4 linked regions of the Caenorhabditis elegans genome follow. The protein of the gene in region 3 interacts with the protein of the main gene of each other region in a biochemical or structural test. Each region holds a gene or a part of one and is shown on either strand. Other genes may lie near its edges. The genes, in order: flp-1, flp-4, npr-4 and flp-3.

Region 1 (3,972 bases), on a different chromosome or scaffold from region 3:
TGAAATCAAACCGAAAGACGCCATTCGCTGCAGAGAATGCGGATATCGTATTCTATACAAGAAAAGATGCAGAAAGTGTAAGTTTTAAATTGTATAGAAAACAAAAATTCATTTTTGAACTTTCAGTGATGGTGTACGACGCCCGCTAATGAACCTGGCTGAACCTGTATCATTTTGTTGAATTTTAAATTTCATACTTGATCTTCGTATTTTTCTCATTTCATCACTTTCAAAAGCGATGAATTTTTCGAATTTTAACCGTTAACAATAAATCGTCGTTCTGCTTAATGACAGGTGTTCTGCATTCTAAGCACACAAATTAAGGACAAGAGCACCCGTGCGCCTGTGAATCTCCATAGCAACCAATGCTTTTCAACGCAACTCAGGCATTTGCTTGTTCTTGTCTAGTTCCACTTATTTTATAAAATGCGACCAAATTTACTATGGGTCGACAAAATTTTAGACGAAAACAATGAAGCTGGGTGAGTTGTTTAAAATTTCAAAATATTTCTTTCATTTTCAAAAACAAATGACACTGAAAGATAAAAAGACGAAAAGAGAATAGAGAAAATAGAGAAATTGTTCCTGAATTAGCTGCTGTGTGAGTGTGATCGATCTGATGCTGACGGTCGAAGTTTTAGTTTCTTATTTTCCGAAACGAAGGAAATTTGGCTTGCGGGATTCACGATCGAAGTTGTCGAATGAGCGTCCGAATCTGAAGAAATAATTTGATAATATTATAATTTTTGTTTTTAACATACCTCAAGAAGTTAGGATCTGCAGATCGTTTTCCGAATCTCAAGAAATTTGGATCAGCAGCGGCTTTTCCAAATCTCAAGAAGTTAGGGTCACTTCGACCTGAAAATGATTATCATTTAGAATCTTGATTATTTTCTATTTTGTTCCCTAACTGACTATCTTTATGAGAGGAAGCTTTGTTTGCAAATAAACTGAAATTTAGTTCGAATCGTTAGATCTGAAATGTTCTTCAAATCCAATCCATTCAAATACTCACCGAAACGAAGGAAGTTCGGGTCTCCGCTAGCCTTTCCGAATCGCAAGAAGTTTGGTTGAGATCGTCCGAATCGAAGGAAGTTCGGGTCTGAACCGGCTTTCTTTCCCAGCGACTTTACAGCTAAAAGAGCACCAAGTTGTGCTCTTTTTTATCAGAAAAAGGTTAGACTTACCTGCTGATCGCCCATATCTCATAAAGTTTGGCTTTCTCTTTTCCATCTTTTGCAGTGCCACCTCGGCATCACCATCGCAGTTTTCACCTGAAAATGAGGAAATATTATGAAAATTCATCAGATACCTTGGCAGGAAGGCGTTGCTTCAGACGAGCTTGCATGCCTTATGCCTGCCCGCCTATCTCTTATTTTGTACATTTAGGCGCAAAGTCTTGATTTACGCACAAGGTTCAACGAACACCCGTGCAGGCATGAGGCAGGCGAGACAGGCCTTTTTGTGATTACATAGCGGGTTTTCTAACGACCAAATATTCTAACAAAGACCCTAATTATAGAGTTAGAATATGTTTTCAGTTGATCTTAAGTTAAATTTTGAAATCAATCTAATTAAATGTTATAACCATGATTTTCCCCGTATTTGGAAGTTTTTTAAATCATTATCTAAATAACCTTATCAATTGTAGGCAATATTTTTTAAATGAATAGTATACTAAACCCTTCAATGAAATCAAAAGGAACAAACCTATAAAGTTCATCACTTCATTTTGCTCCATGGTGGAGAGCATCGAGAAGACCGTACAAAAGTCTGAAGTGGCTCCCGGTGTGCAACATTCTGCCGACACCTGAATAATAATTATAATTTTGAAATTATTAAATCAAGAAAGAAACCTTATAAGTAGCTGCCACAAGGAGTAATAACCCTACTTGGTAGAGCAGAGTCATGATAAAGTGAAGAAAACCAATGAAGATGTGAGCTATTTATAAGCCTTCTTTGCAAGTACCGTATCCAATCTTGAACCCCCCATGATGAGTATGAGTAGGATGATGATGATATTTACCACAAATAATTAATTTGATTTTAATATTCATATTGTATTTCTTGCATCTGGGGTCCGTAAGACGTGCTTGACGAGGACTAATTCCATTATGTTTTATACATCCAAAACGGGACACATTCTATGGATTGGAATTTCAGGAAGATGATGACGATGAAAAAGATTTCAAGAAAATTAGGCTTCCATGGGGAACAGTTTTTTTTTTTGGGTTTTTAGGAATTCCTTCAAAAATTGTGAACAATTAAATAGCTAGATTATCATTTTACCACATATTTTTTAAGAACCGGAAAACCTCAATTATAATTTAAAACGTATCATTTGAAATAGAAATTAATTTCCAGAGTTTGCATTTATGATCTCGCATTCAAACCAGATGGCTCTGAACTTTTGTTGGCTGCAGATAACAAAGTTTACTTGTTTGATGTTAATGAAGGTGGTCAAATGCAAACTTTGAAAGGTAAGTACGTTTTAAAATTATTTAGAGTAAGAATTCATTGAGCCCTTCTCTAACTCTAAATCAACTGAATTTCAGGACACAAAGATCTAGTATACACAGTCGCATGGTCACATAATGGCGAACTATTTGCATCAGGTGGTGCTGATAAATTGGTAATTTTGTGGAATGAGAAACACGAGGGAACTTTGAGATACAGGTTGGAATTTTTCCGAACAGACTGAGAATCTGGCTATTGCCATATTTTTTTAGCAAATTGTAGTTTTACAATTTTTGTTGAAAATTCAAAATTCGTAATACGAAATTGCAAAAATGTAATTATAAATTTCAGTCACACAGACGTAATCCAATGTATGATGTTCAATCCATGCAATCAAATTCTATTAACTTGTGCATTGAATGAGTTTGGATTATGGTCCACTGCTGATAAAAATGTGATAAAACAAAGAAGTGTAGTGAGATGTTGTAGTTGTGCATGGAATACAGATGGTACCATATTTGCAATAGGTCATGGAGATGGTACAATCACACTGAGAAAGGGAACTAATGCGGTAAGAAAATATTAATATCATTTCAATTTCAGAAAATGTACATATTTTACCGCAAATATTAGTTTAAAAAACGATATTTAAAATAGTTAATACATTAATTTAAAGACCGAGGAACCGTCAATAATAATTCAACGTGATAATGAACCAATTTGGGGTATTGCATTCTCATCAAATCGCACATTTGCATCAAGAGATTCACAAGGAAATCCAATGGGTATTGATGAAATAATGGCTGTAATTGATTGGAATAAGACACTTTCTTTTTATTCACTTGATGGAACGTTTATTGAATCAAAGAATTTGGAATTTGAACCGCATTGTATCAGTTATTGTTTAAATGGAGAATATTTATTGATTGGTGGATCGGATAAGATTCTAAAAATATACACAAGGAAAGGTCAGTTTTGAAAAAGGGAATAATTTTTTAATTTACAGGGAAAGCATTTCAGATCTCAATTAGACTTTTTTTTAATGAAACCTACGTTATTTGAAAGAGGAACTTCACACTAGGTCTCTGCAAAAAATTTAGCACTGAAACATTTTTCATATTTTAATTTTATTTTAATTTTTAATTCATATTTTAATTTTATTTATTTACTTTTTTAAAAATTCTTTTTGACTGAACCTCTTTCTATAATAGTGAACGTACTCCACTGCTGCTAAAGTAAGTTTTTTGCAGGAACTTAGTTTGGAGGCCCTTTTTCAAATAAACTAGGTTTCTTTCAGATGTCAAATCGTGACCTGAAATAATTGCCTTTAGTAAGTAGTTGTAGTAGGGAATTGAAAAATTAATTCCCACAATATTGAATGATCGACTGTTGAAAATAAATTTATAGGAGTACTTCTCGGAACAGTTGCTCAAATGGATCATTGGATTTGGTCAGTGACAGTACGTCCAAATTCTCAAACTGTTGCCATGGGATGTGTTGATGGAACTATAGCAT
Region 2 (7,755 bases), on a different chromosome or scaffold from region 3:
GGCGCAAGGCAATTTTTCTACTTACCGTAATCCACGAAGATGCACTGGTGGCCAGAAGTTTTGCTGCTCGACAATTTCCGGCTGAAACATTCATTTATTTTTATAACTTTTCTCAATTTTTAAAAATCTTACAATAAGTTCATCTGGACTTGCAATATTCTTCTCTTCTTGCTCAGCAATTTCTTCACCAGATGACGGTGGATGAGCTGCTGTGAGTGCAAGCAACGTGGCAAAAAGCAAGGAGAAGATGAATGTTTTAAGGGAAGAGGAGAAGGCGTTCATGTCGCTGTAGTTGTCTGAAAATTGCAGAAATAATGAAGAAGGGGAAGGGGGAGCTTGAAGCGGAAAATTATGCGACGAAAAGGTTGAGCAGGTGCTTTTAAAAGAAACGGAGAACAATTGATAAAGGGGTGGAGTCAGTGTGACGTTGATAATGGTTGGATTAAAAAATTAGAGGACAAGTAATTTATCAATATTAACTTAAACAAAGGGTGAATAAACCGGGATTGCCCAAAGTTTGGCCGCACCCAGCTCAAAATTTTTTAATTTTTGTTTCGCCTGAAAACGAAATTCGAACACTTTTTTTGGTTGCTTTTTTGGCATTTCTGGTTTACCTGTTTAAAAAAAAATTGACGTTCAGTTGGAAAATACCATGAAACAATTGTACTTCAATAATTCTCCAAAAATAGAGGAAATAACATTTCACTGGTGTCTAAAAGTGATAGGTTTCCTAAAAAACAAAAACGCACATCCGTTTTCACAAACTTCAAGCCTTTTATTCAAAAACTCAATCACCAATGTTTCTCAACTGACGCATCTTCAACATTTTGACGTAATTTTTGAAAACTTTGACGTGCTAAATATTTCCTGTGCAAGCTGATTTTTGTTATCTAGACATTTTGGTTCAATTCTCAAAAAAAAACATCTGCAATGAGGCGTGTGGAATAGTTTTCGGAAAAGGTTGGAGATTGAAAATTGATCGGGATTATTCTAAATTATCATTGAGTTGATTAAAAAGTTTTCAATTATTCTCTTATACTGTTCACCCTGGGACTAATTAAAAATACGGTAAATACTATTTATTGGCTAATCGTAATATTTTATTTAAATATCCAATGACACAAAAACGCACGTCAAAGAGAGAAGAAAGAAAATTTAAAAAAACGTATCAATAATGCAAAGAAATATCTCGGAGAACATCAAGACCGGTGCGCCCGATTCCTGGAAGACATTGAGCCCCCACGTAAGAAGTGAAAGACCGAAAGACCTTTTTTATAATAAGTAATGAAACATGAGAACTATTCTGAACATTATACGAGCTGATTGGACACCCGATATGAGCATTTGAGTGGTGAAGTCTCTTGAACTTTCAAATTTTGCATAATTTCTGTTGGAAAAGAAGGAAATGTGGGTGTGGTCTGACGTCAAGGGTTCAAAATTATGCTGGTGGTCCGTTAGAAGTAGTTCTATGAAATTTAAACAAAAATCAATGGTTCTCCAAACAAATTTCTGAAGCTTAAAGGATAGCTGGAAAAAACACCAGAACTAAATCTTTAGAGCCAGCCAAATTTTTCAAACTTGTCAATTTCAGATATTATGCGTTGAATCCATGTTCTGTTATCCGATGGATCAAAAATTATAAGTTTGTAAACAATACGAATTTATAAAAGATCCTTATTAAAACTTCAAACTCACATTAACCTCCTCGGAAGGGATTAATTATAGACTTAAGCTTCTAAAATAACTAATATTTTTTAGTCGAGCTTCTTTTATGTGTCTAAAGAAATTATTACAGACGTTTTGGTTTTCAATGAAATATAATCCTTTGGTTTTTAGTTTGTGTCTATATCTATTGGTCTCTAGGGTTACGGTAGTGACGGGTTAACTTCAATTAGTAAATCACCTATTTACTGTCTCGAACGTGGTCATAAACTTTGTTGAGTGTAGGCAAAAAATGCCTACCTATTCATGTATGTAGATTGTCAATTGATCTCCATAATTGCTGGAATTCAGTGATTTTGATAAGATTTCAGAAGCTGATAGATTTTCAAAATGGAGAATAAAACTTCTAATGAATAAGACAGAGTCAAAAGTTGAACTCACCACTTTGCCAAATTCAAAAGCTGAAACTAATGTTGTAAGAGTGGATTTCTTAGGTATTTATACTTAAACCTTCAGTTCAAAAAACCTTAACTAAATACCAAAGGGGTATTATTACGACACATATCAGACTTTAGTCTAAGATTAGGATTAATATTAATCTATTGCTTACATTTTCATGTTTTAATGAATCAAGGTTTAGGTTACACTGTGAAAAAGAATAATCTTTTAATGGACGAGATGATCTTCGGAAAGTGAATTGACAATGCGATCTTAGGAATAAAATTAGAATTGTGATAAGTTTAGTCTAGTTTCAAAAGCTTGCTGGAAGTGTTTGTCTTAAAACAAGGAAATCTATCACCTAGCCTATTCATAGGCACAAAAATACATATCATCGAAACTATCACAAAATGTCCAAGAGGCACGCAGGTAAGCATTTTGGGGGCCTTTAGAGATCATTTCAAAGTAAAATAACGCGAACAGTATGTGCTTGGATGTTCTTCATTTGAAAGCTTTCTACTGTTTTTCGTTCAGGAAAATTATCGTACTGCGTAGGATTCAGATCTTTGTCATAAACTTCGTTCATTCATAGTTTCTTCCGCATGCCATTTCAAATAAGATCAAAAGTCTATTTTTTGAATAACCTTAACATTTATCTTAAACTCTAATTTTTCTTTTAGGTTCTATTGTTTGCGATAATGGATGTCTCTCAGGATTAAGCATAGTCAAAAATCACATCCGTGTCTTTTTCCGGATTTTCTATCACGAAAACTCATCACATAGGTAACTGTAACAGATGATCAGTCAGGTAGTGTGGCATAATGAAACCTAATAAGTATTTTGAAAATGAATATTCTTTGTACAGCAAAAATACATTTAATTCTAATACCACATTGAAACTCTAAAATTTCAATGAATTATATGACGTCACACGGCGCTGAAAATGTGTCCCAGCAGAGAAAAAAGAAAAAGAACGGAATAATAAGAAATGTGAAGAACAGTTGGAGGTGCTTAAAAATGCATGCAAAAATACTAAGAAATTCACTGGATATTGGTCACAATTTGTAGATTTGTGCGTACAAACTCGTGGTGTAGAATTACTTTATTAGGTGTGATATGAGTTATCAGAATCAGTTTGATTAAAAATTGGATTGGAAAATGTGGAAAAATTGTCATGGTGCGTGGTTTGATCTGAGAATAATTGGAAAATATGATGGATTGAAAAGGAAAATCCTGAGAAAATTTTGAGAAATGCCTTTTTGGAAAAATGACGCAATTGGAATTAATTGAGTAGTTGGGCTACAGTCACGTACTACATTTTGAAGAGTTTTATAAAAAAATATGGTGGTTCTTTGATATATTTTTCCCGGTGTAATGATAGAAATTCCTATCTGGAAGTAAATTTCCAGAGCTCTCTACGTATTCAGATTCCCACGTAAAGATTTTATAATTTTCAAGAACTCTTTTCTGTTTTCTGGATTTGTGGTAAAGCTCTGAGTTTTGTGATCACGATGCTTCAACTGGAATTTTAAATAGTGATAAACAGTTTCTTAATTCTCAGAGTAAGAGAAGTTTCTCCCATAGTTTTAAGGAAAGTATTCCAACTTTTAATTTTCTAAAGAAGGACACTTTTTATTACGTCTGGACTATTGAAGAAGCCAGAAACCACTAAAGTTCAAAAGAGCTCATCAAACAGTCATGGAGTCAGGGAGCAGGAGTGTAAATCAAGTGCGTGAAAGCTTGAAATTCTAAAAAAAAAGAACATTTGAAGACCTCGAAGCTCCTTGAAAACCATTTTACTACGCGACTTCCAAATCGGAATATTAAAATTTGCAAAATATTTATCAGGCATTTCCAGTTTTCGAGCCCTTGATTCACACCCCTGTTGTGTAGCAGCTAGATGTTTGAATGAAGATTTTGAATTAAAAAGAAGGAAATTTTACTGTAGCCCGTAATATAAAGGTACACTTATAAGTCGATCCAAGAAGCATGAAAATCTGAACGAATGATCTTATTCTATGCTCAATTTTTATAGGAGACGTAAATACAATTAGCAAAGAAAGAACTCTCAAAATGTTATTTTGTTGTCTACGTAATTCAACAACAACTTAAATCTTCCATGTTATGCTGAAAATATTCTGCCTGCCTTCAAGGTAACCTACGTTCCTTGGAAATATGTCATGACTACTGCCAAAGTTGTAAAAACATGAATACAAAACATACTCCTGAAGACGTGCGTGCATACGACGATGCTATACAAGAACTATAACAAGAAAGAAAAGTAGTCCTGCATATATACTAAATCTAAAAATGTATTTACAGTTTCTTTTGCCCACACAAATAAGACGCCCACTTAACTTTTCATCTTTTGAACTTGGCTCTCAAGTTTCCATAAAAAGAAGAACATTTTTGCAGGAAGCTGTCTTTCAGTCCTAAAAGCTAACTTCTTGTTTTTCTTAACTTTCGAATATCTGAAGATTCGGTGCCGCAAATTGAATAACAACAACTATTTTTGGATGGACCATAAATAGACGTTCCTCCTAACTCTTCAGGTTACACCTACGTTTTCCGAACATTTTTGAAACCTTAAAGGACAATTTAATAGAAAATCAAAGGAACATGGATAGGTAATAATTCAAAATCCGTGTGTGTTTTTGTCTGATGTTGTCACTTTCGAACAAGCAACAACTAATTCGACAACATCAATCAAAATTCCCGAATCTCGGCAATTTTTCTTCGATTAGCTTTTGAGCGTCCAAGGTTCAATTCAGGAAAAAGAAATATGAGAGCAAATGAGTGAAATTGAAAACAGAACAAGACAAGAAAATGACTAACTAGATAATATGTAACATGATAAGAAGATTATAGATTAACAATGAATAGTCAGAAATTATTCTTGTAAGTCTAGTAAATCGGCTTGCAGATTTCATCGGAACATTTATTAAAAACAATACATGTAAGAAGCCAAAATTGAACACGTGTTTTGAATTCAAGATTTTTTAAATTTATAAAAAACAAGTCTGCGGTTTTTTTTTTGGGCTTAGATTTATGTACTCTATAGCTTTTTCAAGTCATAAAAAGCTTTGAAATGCATTACTGTATTGAATAAATGTTTAGTAAATGTTTTGAAAAACTGGTAAATTTTCAAACAAAAAATTTTTTTAAAGCAATTTCAAATCATGTAGGTTCGATTATTTAGAGGTGCTAATTTGGAAAACAACCTTGTATAACTCTTTGGAGATACCCTAAATTTAGATCCACAATACATATCTAGAAATTTGATACACTAGACACTAGACATACCTCAAGAAAATTATGAACGAAAAAATGTACATTGTCTTATATAAATACTTGTATGAATGACGTTGCAATGGCTAACGTCAAATACTCCAATAAAAACTCTAGAAGTTAATCAACAATATGTGTTTAGTAATAATCGTTTGACGCCCACTTTTCGCTAGTTTTCAAGCAAAACCAATTTCCGATTTCTGAAACGAAAAATGAAAATAACTATGGCAGCTACAAATGGTCACGTAGACTAAACCAAACAACAACAATCTTCAAGAAGTTCCTCGAAAAAATTGAAGATTTTCCAGAAAAAAAAACAGTCAGATACACCACGTTTTCTGGTTATGCTCCATTGTGGCCTCAAGATACTGCTGTTAGACCAAAACTTTTTGTCAAATTTCATGAATTTCAAAGAACATTTTTGCCAGTTTGCTTTTCACGTCAACTAGATCTATTGATGTCAAAGCGAAAAAAAACCTACCAATTTTTTGCGGAAATATTGAGATCCAAATATGAATTTGCGAAGAAAGGCGTGAGCAGGCGGAGCCTAGTGCGCAATCAAATGAATGTGACTGGAATGATGTTGAATAGGGGAAAAAAGGAAACAGAATAAGGAGACAGCACAAAAAAGGAGAATGGAATGGACACTGGAAGTTGGAATATATGTAGAATAAGTAGGAATGGGTTGAGGAAGAAGAGGACAGTTTTATTGAGTTCTTTACGAGCTGGGGAATGAGGAATGATGATGGAATCATTGGAGAAAAAATTGTGGTACGACCAAAAAGCTGAAGACGTGGGTTTTGTCTGACAAGGCATGACGAATCAATGATTAGGTGGAGGGGGACATCGAATTTATGACGGAACTTCGGGAATGAAACGTGCCAAAAGATGGATGGGGGTCCAACTACCCCAATAAGTTTGATCTTTTGGAATACCAAACTAGGAGGTAATGGGGGTTTTCGGCTATTTTTAGATAAAGTTGATTGAAAACTACCGTAGTTCGACTGAAAAATTATCTTGCGTAGATGTTGGCTTTCGAATTTATTTTAGAAAATTTAGGAAAGGTTGAGAACCTTCTAGAAACTCTAGAAACTTTTGGAATATTCGGGGAAAACCGGGAAACTTTGGAAAACGTCTGTATTGTAAAATAAAGACCCGTCGCTGCGGGTTCAAATTCATGCTCTTCAAAAAAATTCAGCGCCCACAGTTCAAATATGTGATTTTAGAATTATTCTGTCAAATTAGAAGGAAGTACAAAAATTTTATATAGAAACTGAAAAAAAACGTCAGAAGACAATATATGCACCAATAGCCTATTGATTTGAAGAGCTGAAAAAGTTTAAATCCCACAAAAAACAATAGCAGGATTTTTTGGGAACCCCGCAAATGATAGAACACTTTTAATATTGGAACAAGTGCTCAAATTTTTTAAAGACAGTTAAATGAATTATTGAAATTATTCATTTTACTTTCCTTTTTTGCAAAAATAAAATCCGAATCCGTAGGTCTCGGGAAATCACTAAAGATAAGTAAGTCTTAACATTTTCCTAATTATGAAAATCAGATCGGTCAACATTTTGCAATTTCGCTAAAACATGCACAAAATAAGAACCAAGAAATCAAGCCTTTTTTTTCGTGTTATTTTCTGCGCTTTTCTTTAATAAACAGAAAATTGCTCCTGATCCAAAAATAATCCAGACAACTCATCCAAACAATCTTCTGCTCGGAGGAGAAGGAAATGCACAATTTGCAACCACTTGTACGTGGGGAAATTGAGGAAATGGTTATGTAGTTCAAAAGTATTTGTGTGGGCTCCGGATTGGGGCATGAAAAATCAAAAAAATTGTTCGTATTGGACTATTTTTCTAATAACTTTGGTAATTTTATAATTTTCCAAAACTCGGCAATTTACCAAAAAAGACCACAGATCTATTCGGAAAAGTTTTGATGCAAAAATTTAACTTTACCAGTTGTCTCCTTTTTTGAATAAATATTAAAGAACATAACATCTCCACAAAATCCAAAAAAATTGAAAAGCATCTACAAAAAAAGAAAAATGCTGCTTAATTTTCTATTAAACCCGCAGGCTTTCAATTACACATTTCAAGATATTTGGGAAGCACTATAAATACTACAAGTAGTGCAAAACAAGACGAAATCGTCATTTTAAATTATTAAATTATTGAAAATCTGAAAGAATGCTGTGCAATTCTAAAAGGGGCTTAGTCAGCGGAAGCTATTTTTTTCAAATTACTTATTCACGTCCGAGTCATCAAACTACTCAATGTGTTCTACCAAGTCTATAGCATATTCAATATCATTTGCCACTATGTTTTCACTATATTTCTATTTTATTTATAGGGAAAC
Region 3 (4,592 bases):
ATTAAACCATCATTCATAATTGATACAAGCATTCAAGTTGAGCAGAATGCGCAACATGTTTTTGTGATCAATTGGGGAGAACCTTTACAAAATAATTAAACATTCTTTCTAGGGAGAAATGTGTATTATGAACGTTTTAAACAATTTTGAAAATTGAAACTAATACGTAGAATGTGTAATATTCAAAAAGAACCGAAAATTGAAAATTTCTCAAAACATTGCGAGTTACTATAAATTTGAAAAATTGCCCAGTTTCAACTCTTCAAGAATCAAAAAAAACTTACAAGCGTTTTCCAAGGTTCACATTCATTTTTGAGAATACAAAGAATGATGAGAAAGCAAATAAGAAATTTCTCAAATCTCAAAAGACAAAAAACGATGTTAGTTAGCATTTTCTTACTCAACCCTCCCAAATAGTAACATAAAAATAAGCTCAATTGATCGGACAAATGGCATTTGTGACGCAATCTGCTGAACATGCAAATAACTTCCGAAAATATTATACTAAGCCTATCGCAGCGCAACATGAACTTGGCCAAGGAATCGAAAATTAAAATTTGAATGTGAAAGGCTTTTTCCGTTAAATGCATTTCCCAACGCTTCTCAGATAAATATCTTCTTTAAGCACAAAATAGAATGAAGTAAACGAATTTCCACTTTACTCCTCCGTCCAAGTCTCATCTAGATATATCGGGCCATTTACTATTTCTTCCAAAATATTCGCAAAAGCTCGAATCTATTGCACATCTTGTTCCGGACAAGCCAGACTGCGTCAAACATGCATATAGCAAAACTTCAACCTTTGTTCATTGTTTTCCTCATCGGGACCGGCTAAAAGGTGTACTTCTAGGTTGGTGACTGGTGTTTTCATAAATTACGAGACAATTGGGTGCCTACGTTGTCTCGTGACTTTGGTTTTCTTTTAATGTTCTCATTTTGTATTTGTTCATCGCGGTCAAAAAAACAAGAAGACGGAATGAAATAAATGGTTATTTTCCCAGAACCACTGATTTTTTAAGTGGAAGTAGTTTTCATAATTCATAAAAAATTCATTTAAAAAAAGCAAATGGGCTAGACAATGTGGTGTTTTCAAAACAAAAGCACATCACAATTATATAAACTGAAAATTATTTTTGAGGTCCGTAACAACCAGGAAATATGTATACGGTAATATTGCAAATTATTAAAGATTTTGGAAAAAAAATCATGTTCTTCAGCAGGTTCAAAGGAAACAAAAGAAAAAGCGGAGTGCTGTGACAATCTTAAAGCTGTAGTACGGTAGGTGAAAAATAATTGAAAACCATTACAATAGTGGTGCTAAAATTACCAAATATCAAAATGAAATTTTTGAAATCTTGACTCGGAGTAAAAAAAAATTTCAATAGCTTTTGAAAAGTTTATCATAATATTTTATCATTTTTGCAATATTAAACGGTTTTAATCATGTCCCCACTGGCTGTACAACATATCTTTCCGCCTACTCACAACCAATCGTAAAAACTTTTTTCCTCTTTCCCCTTCCCACATTTCACGTCAGCATTTCTGCAGATACCTTCTAATTTTGTATTTCAGATACATTATAATAACACCATGCTGGCATTTTTAACATTTTGAGCTTTGAGCATCAAAGATCGAACACTATGCGTTTCTCTCCTAATATATAAGATCAATTCTTTAGCGGCTCTATTTTAAAACGTCATTAATGAAATGAGTACGGAGAGAGAGACAGAGAGGAACTATAGGTGGGTGGTATAAAAAACTCGAGAGAGCGGGAGAAAGTTTCAAAGTTTTCCTTCCTTCTAAGGAATTTGATTATCTTAGGTCAGCGAAAAGTTGCAAAGATGAAGTGGTTGGTCCGTAGGAGAATGAAGTGCCAAAAAGTACAACGAGTAAGAGGAATACTGTTTTTGGATCCAAAAAATCTAGATTAAATCGTTCAAGAAAAGTCTTACTATAAGAATCTTGAAAAGTAAAAGTTCAACATTTGAGCTATTGTAAAATCGTTAGCAAAAAGTCAAAAAGAGCAATGTTCACAATTGTAGCGATTTTTTTCAAAATCACAAACGAATTGCCATTGATCTGCGAAAAACACCCAACAAACTCACACCACCCTTTGATCCATATTTTTTAGTTTTACTGGGTACAATTTCTCAATTTTGCCAATGATTTGTTTCTTGTTTTACATGATTAGCTGCAATTCAGTATTGTCTAACGCAATGCACCAAGAATCTTGATTGGCACCGAAAAATTGAGAATGTTGATCTAAAGATCAAAAACCCTTTTTTTTTTGGTAATGGAAAAACACCAATTCAGAAGAAAAAAAAAAGAACTTCACCAATTGAAAGTCGCATGACTCGTTCTCAACTGAGAAACGTGGAAAACGTCATCATTTGTTTTCTAGAAAAGGGGTGGCATTTTAAACTTGTTGAACTAAATTCAATTTTATGCAAAACGGAAGAAGGTTTCGAGATGTGATTTCAATTTAAGAAAGTTTTGACGGCGACGAATAAGAGCTGGTTGGCTCAAAAACACAATCGAGATTTGTCAGAGAATGAGTGATGGTGTGACAAGTGCACCACAATTTTGGAGTTTTCACTCGAAATTAGTGTTGTTTTTTTTACCATAGCTCGTCAAAATAGGCAATAATCTAATATTCACAAGTGTCTGAATTTGGGCTTAGAACTTTAACACTTGAGTTGTGGGAGGGTTTCTCTTTCAACTTTCCCAGAAACTAATAGACACCTCATTTGAAATGCGGAGGGGGACCCATTTTCCATTTTCAGGAACTTACCTTTCTCCAAACTTTCTTGCTCGGGTTATATTCCCGATTGTTATTGTGCCAATTTCCAGTAACATTGTTCTGTATATGTGTCTTCACCTAACAACTTTTCAGTTGCAATTCTCCGTAAACTTTGTGTTGATATCTGAAAATCAAACGATTGGTTATATAGTTTACAGTGACCGAGAGGCTTACCGTGATTAAATGAGAGCCTGGTGCCAAGGCAAGCTGGGCTGAAACAAATTGTATTTAGATAAATTCAAAGAAAGAATGGACAAGAAGAAATTGTGAGAAAAGATTAATATTATCCTCAACATCTGGCACCAAAAGCGTTTGTTTTCAGAAACGTTTGTACATTCTGCACTAATGCAATAAACTAATCGAGTTGGAATGAGAAAAATGGAGCAAGACAGGCGGAAAAGTTAATTTTCAGATTCTTAGAAAAAAACAAACAAAATTTTATGGCGGAGGATTACAATGACAAAGGATTTTTGCCTTTGTAAGTCTTTTCACTTTTGAAGAAACTAGTCTAGACTAGAACATGTGAAAACACCTTGAACTTTTTTTCAAGTTGTTTTAACTTTGGTGAAAAGTCAAATACTGGAAAATATTTTTTAATTGAATAAAATTATCTTTAATTTGTTTAAGGAGAATTTCAAAACCAACTAGAACAGGTAAGAAAACTTCAATTTTGCATTACTTGAAGATGGGTGAACTAGAAAGCTTTACCGCCAAACCTATTTTTTTTCAATGTGTACTACATTAAAGTTCTACAACATTATTTTATTTTTCAAATTAAAACTAAATTATATGTTATCCATAGAATTAGTTGATTTCATATTTCCTTACAATTGGAAAAATAAGTTTCGAGAAATACACAAACAATAATCACTACTTTTGTTTTTCAATCAAATTTGTGGAATTTAACATTTTTATATACTAATCTAAACATGACTCTACAAACAAATTTTTGTTATACTGTGAAACCGAAAATATAAAACAAAAGTGCTTCGATTTTTGGAGTTGAAAGAACAATTCGAACTCCGAACTCACTTCATCAAAAACCAACATGATTTTCTTCTTGTACAAAGATCGCAACAATTAAAACGGAAACAAGTGTAAGGTAAATAATAAAAAAGGACCAACCGACTGCAGATTGGCTTGCCCTTCTTCCGCAGGCGTTGCTCAATTGTCTTAGAGGGTCCATTTGGTTGTAAAAAAAGGGATTGAAGCCAGGAAAAAGAAGAATGGAGGGCGGAGAGCGGAGGAAAAAAGGTTCGGAGAAAAGGATGATAGAGTCATGCGGGGATGACCTCTAAGGATGTGCAAATGTTGCGTTGATTATTCAAGTCTGCGATTGGATGATTGGAGGATTGGGCTGATTTCGTCATTTGCTATCTAAGATTCAGGTGAATGCAATGAAGGTTCGGAGACCAAGTGCGATGCGTAAGAAAATGGTAATGAGCGCTGGGGATATTGAATGAACTTTCCCAGATCTTTGGAATAATTTTTATAAGACAACAGAAACTTGTTTTGTTGGAAAGGCCGTAAATTCTGTTACAATGTTATGTATATCAAATCTTTTTGCTTTTTTGTAAAATTTTTTTGATTTAATATCGTGTTTTTTTTCAGAGACTGCTTTCAAAATACATAACTATTTATCAGCGTTTATAAATTAGTAAGAAACACTGGAATTATCCATAAAAACAACAAAGTCAGTGAAAAGTTTGTGGGCTTGTTGCACAGATATTTATAATTTTGTTTTTTTTTTCGTATGTATTACATTAATAAATAAAAACATGAATCTTCACAA
Region 4 (3,060 bases), 2.5 Mb from region 3:
CTGCATTTTATAACTCCATTTTTAATATACAAAAAATGAAGCAACAGATAACATTGTGAACTAGTAACGATGACTGTTCAGAATAAGAACAAAACGAATAAGCAGAAAAGGGAAAATATGCGTTTATTGTGAACATTCAGCGTTTTATTTTTAATTTGCAGTTCATCCATAATATTTTTTTCCTTGACTCTGTGCTTTAGTGATAGTTCTATTGTGAGTAGGCTGAGTAAACTTCTTTAAGAAGCCGGCAGTTTCCACGCATTCATTGGTTGGCACATGTTGGTCTTCTGTAAACATCTGAAATGTTCGAATTCATATTTGTTTTCAAGTGTCTAAAGGGGAAAACACCGGAAGTTTTGGCCAATCGGATGATGAAAGCGGACGAGCGAACCATGAAATTGTGTTCGAGAATTTCTCCATCAAAAGCAAAGACTAAATTTGAGAATCTTACAGTTTGCTAGCTAACTATTTTGGTCAAGCGTGAACAACTAACAACAAAATTTAACAAAGTGAATAATAACATTAATTTATTCTCCAATCTATGCAAACCACTTGATGAGAAGAACAGAGAAGGGGGTATTATGGAATAGTCGTTTTTCCTTAGTTTTTTGCAAAAGCCCAAGAATTATGCAATCGTTTCGGTATATTTTGGTATGAATTAGAAGCCAGAATGATAAATAATGTTAAAAGAGAGTGCCACTGCTGCGGGGGTGTTGAACATGAAAACTTAGTTGAAGCGAGAATAATATAAACGTGAAAAGTGAAAATAGAAATTATTTTCCAAAGCGCATGGTTCCAAGAGGGTTTCTTTTGCCAAAGCGCATTGTGCCAAATGGAGCACTGTCGTCAGCTGATCTTTTTCCAAAGCGCATAGTTCCAAGTGGCTCTTCTAAAAGCATAACATTGTGAAATCAAACTTTAGTACAGAACTGTATACCTGCTTCACGTTTCCCAAATTTCATTGTTCCAAATGGCGCATTACCGTCTTCTCTCTTTCCAAAACGCATGGTTCCAAACAGAGCATCCTCACTAGCACGCTTTCCAAATCTCATTGTTCCGAATGGTGTGTCGTTCTCAGGATTACGTTTTCCAAAACGCATAGTACCGAATGGCTCTGGAAACAGGTGGGTATAGTTTTTGAAAATTAATTATTTGTATAATACCTGCACTTCGTTTTCCAAAACGCATAGTTCCCAATGGAGTGCGCTGATCACGAATGACGGGCTCCGAAGAATCAACAGTAGACCGCTTCCACATTACATTTGACGGATAGTATCCATCCTCCTCAAATGTCATTTCATCAGCAATGGCTCGTTTGCCAAAGCGCATTGTTCCCAGTGGAGACCGTTTTGGTGTGGCATCTAAATACTTTTCATTCTATTTCAAAAACATAATTTCTATTCTCCTACCCGACGCTACCAAAAACGCGCAATTCACACAGAAGAGCAGGATGAGGTGATTGGGCGATATCATTGGTGGTTATGGTGGTGTTACGCGGGAGCTAACACACAAGGGGTACCTTAAAATATAACAATTAGTTACGGAAAATTTAGTCAAGAAGAAGTAGAAGTGAGGTTGTGAACCGCCGAGATATTTGCATGTTTTTATATGAGCTTAATTTCAACAATTTTAACGGTTCAGTTGTCATGCCGGAAGAGGTGTGTGGGGTTTTAGAAATTTGGTCAGGAATGCGTAAATACTGTGTGCAGTTAGAAAAATGTTCATGTGAAACGAGTAAAATTGAAATCCGGTGCTCAAAAATTATTGAAAATCTGAGCTTTGGCGAACAACTTTGTTTAATAAGTACTCGGTACATTCTATTGTCAGGTAAAAATTGGAGGCGTTGGCAATTTGGTTTAAAGGGGCGGGTTTCTAAAAAGTAAGTGGTCCCTTGATGTTGCAATGCACAGGTCAAACGATTACTATTGTGTCGAGAAAAGACTTCGAAAATGCACGATTTGACGTACGACGTCTACCGCCGCCCAACACTCCTTCAAACAAATTGCCAAGTAACAATGCTATTGCTCTTTTATTGCGGCCAGAGTTTCTATTAAAAAACGGTGGCACCTCAATTTATGCATCGTCATGTGACATTTTTGGAATACTCTAAGAAAAGAAATAAGATAATTGAGTCTAAAAAGACACTCGAAATTAGTAGAAGAAGCGTAGGTGGTAGTTTTCAAAGTTCAGGTTAATAATTTGAAACTGAAAGAATTGTGTTGAAACGGGGCGGCGGTTAACGGAAGAGGTGGGATCTCTCGAAAAACCTATAAATTTTGATGTTCAACATCATAATTCAAGCCTAGATGGATAACGAGAATGACGACTCGAACCCATTTTTTTGATGGGATACTGTAACTTTGTGACATCAACTCTCACACAGCCCACCGCCAATTATTAAATCTTTGCGTGCACAGCTAGTCAAATGTAAGTCTTGATTGATAATTGTCAGGTACGAAATTTAAACCGGGACTGGTGTTAGTTCAAAACGTAGATAGACATTTGTTCTCAAAAAAGAAAGAAATGACAGAATCCGATTGGTGCCTGTTGGTTGAGATGCCACCTTGTCGAATTTGTGAAGCGAAGCTGATTAATGAACTGAGCTTTAAGGAGGGGGGATTTTCTGTTTTTGAATAATTAAACATTATTTTTTGTCAAAAACGTCACTTGTCAGAACGCGAGAAATGATTAAGTAGGTTGAACTAATCTTGTTCTCAAGATTGAACAGTGTTTTGAAATTAAAACGAAAACTAATAAATCAAAGCTTCTTGGAAATTCTAGCACCTTCCAAAGTCACTCCACATGTTTAATTATGAGCACTCATTGACATTTCCGAAACAATTCTTTGAAGAACTAGCAAGACTGAATTTTAAAATTTTGATCTTGAAAATAGTGTGCCTCGTTTTCTGACCTAATCTGGCTAAAATCTGAAATTCAGTGCCAGTAGTCGTTTCCTTTGTTCGCGAAGAAAACGTAAGACTTGGTTAACAGATGGGCTATTATTCCATGCGGAACCCAACCACTTTATTCGAAGTTATAGGAAACATAGTTTAAAAAATG

Evidence for each region.
Region 1: of the proteins of npr-4 (region 3) and flp-1, one has a biochemical effect on the other in vitro, tested with the Caenorhabditis elegans proteins (one study listed by BioGRID).
Region 2: of the proteins of npr-4 (region 3) and flp-4, one has a biochemical effect on the other in vitro, tested with the Caenorhabditis elegans proteins (one study listed by BioGRID).
Region 4: of the proteins of npr-4 (region 3) and flp-3, one has a biochemical effect on the other in vitro, tested with the Caenorhabditis elegans proteins (one study listed by BioGRID).

The regions. Positions count from the first base shown.
Region 1 is NC_003282.8:9,142,651-9,146,622, reverse strand, and holds flp-1 (SQPNFLRF-amide), read right to left. Parts: upstream 1,919-3,972; 5' UTR 1,911-1,918; coding exon 1,857-1,910; intron 1,811-1,856; coding exon 1,711-1,810; intron 1,275-1,710; coding exon 1,188-1,274; intron 1,136-1,187; coding exon 1,016-1,135; intron 859-1,015; coding exon 762-858; intron 716-761; coding exon 646-715; 3' UTR 501-645; downstream 1-500. Other genes in the region: rpb-12 (DNA-directed RNA polymerases I, II, and III subunit RPABC4), read left to right, coding at 1-77, 127-149; daf-10 (Intraflagellar transport protein 122 homolog), read left to right, coding at 427-482, 2,365-2,480, 2,556-2,676, 2,809-3,028, 3,134-3,425, 3,865-3,972. UniProt on the Caenorhabditis elegans protein: Together with flp-18, plays a homeostatic role by acting on the GABAergic neural transmission at neuromuscular junctions to prevent overexcitation of the locomotor circuit. DPNFLRF-amide: Inhibits the activity of dissected pharyngeal myogenic muscle system.
Region 2 is NC_003280.10:10,047,166-10,054,920, reverse strand, and holds the start of flp-4 (FMRF-Like Peptide), read right to left. Parts: upstream 6,054-7,755; 5' UTR 5,870-6,053; intron 297-5,869; 5' UTR 283-296; coding exon 133-282; intron 82-132; coding exon 26-81; intron 1-25.
Region 3 is NC_003284.9:12,548,666-12,553,257, forward strand, and holds the start of npr-4 (G-protein coupled receptors family 1 profile domain-containing protein), read right to left. Parts: upstream 3,013-4,592; 5' UTR 2,975-3,012; intron 2,925-2,974; 5' UTR 2,857-2,924; coding exon 2,792-2,856; intron 1-2,791.
Region 4 is NC_003284.9:10,091,446-10,094,505, forward strand, and holds flp-3 (TPLGTMRF-amide), read right to left. Parts: upstream 1,520-3,060; 5' UTR 1,474-1,519; coding exon 1,410-1,473; intron 1,362-1,409; coding exon 1,164-1,361; intron 1,115-1,163; coding exon 938-1,114; intron 890-937; coding exon 774-889; 3' UTR 501-773; downstream 1-500. UniProt on the Caenorhabditis elegans protein: FMRFamides and FMRFamide-like peptides are neuropeptides. SAEPFGTMRF-amide inhibits the activity of dissected pharyngeal myogenic muscle system.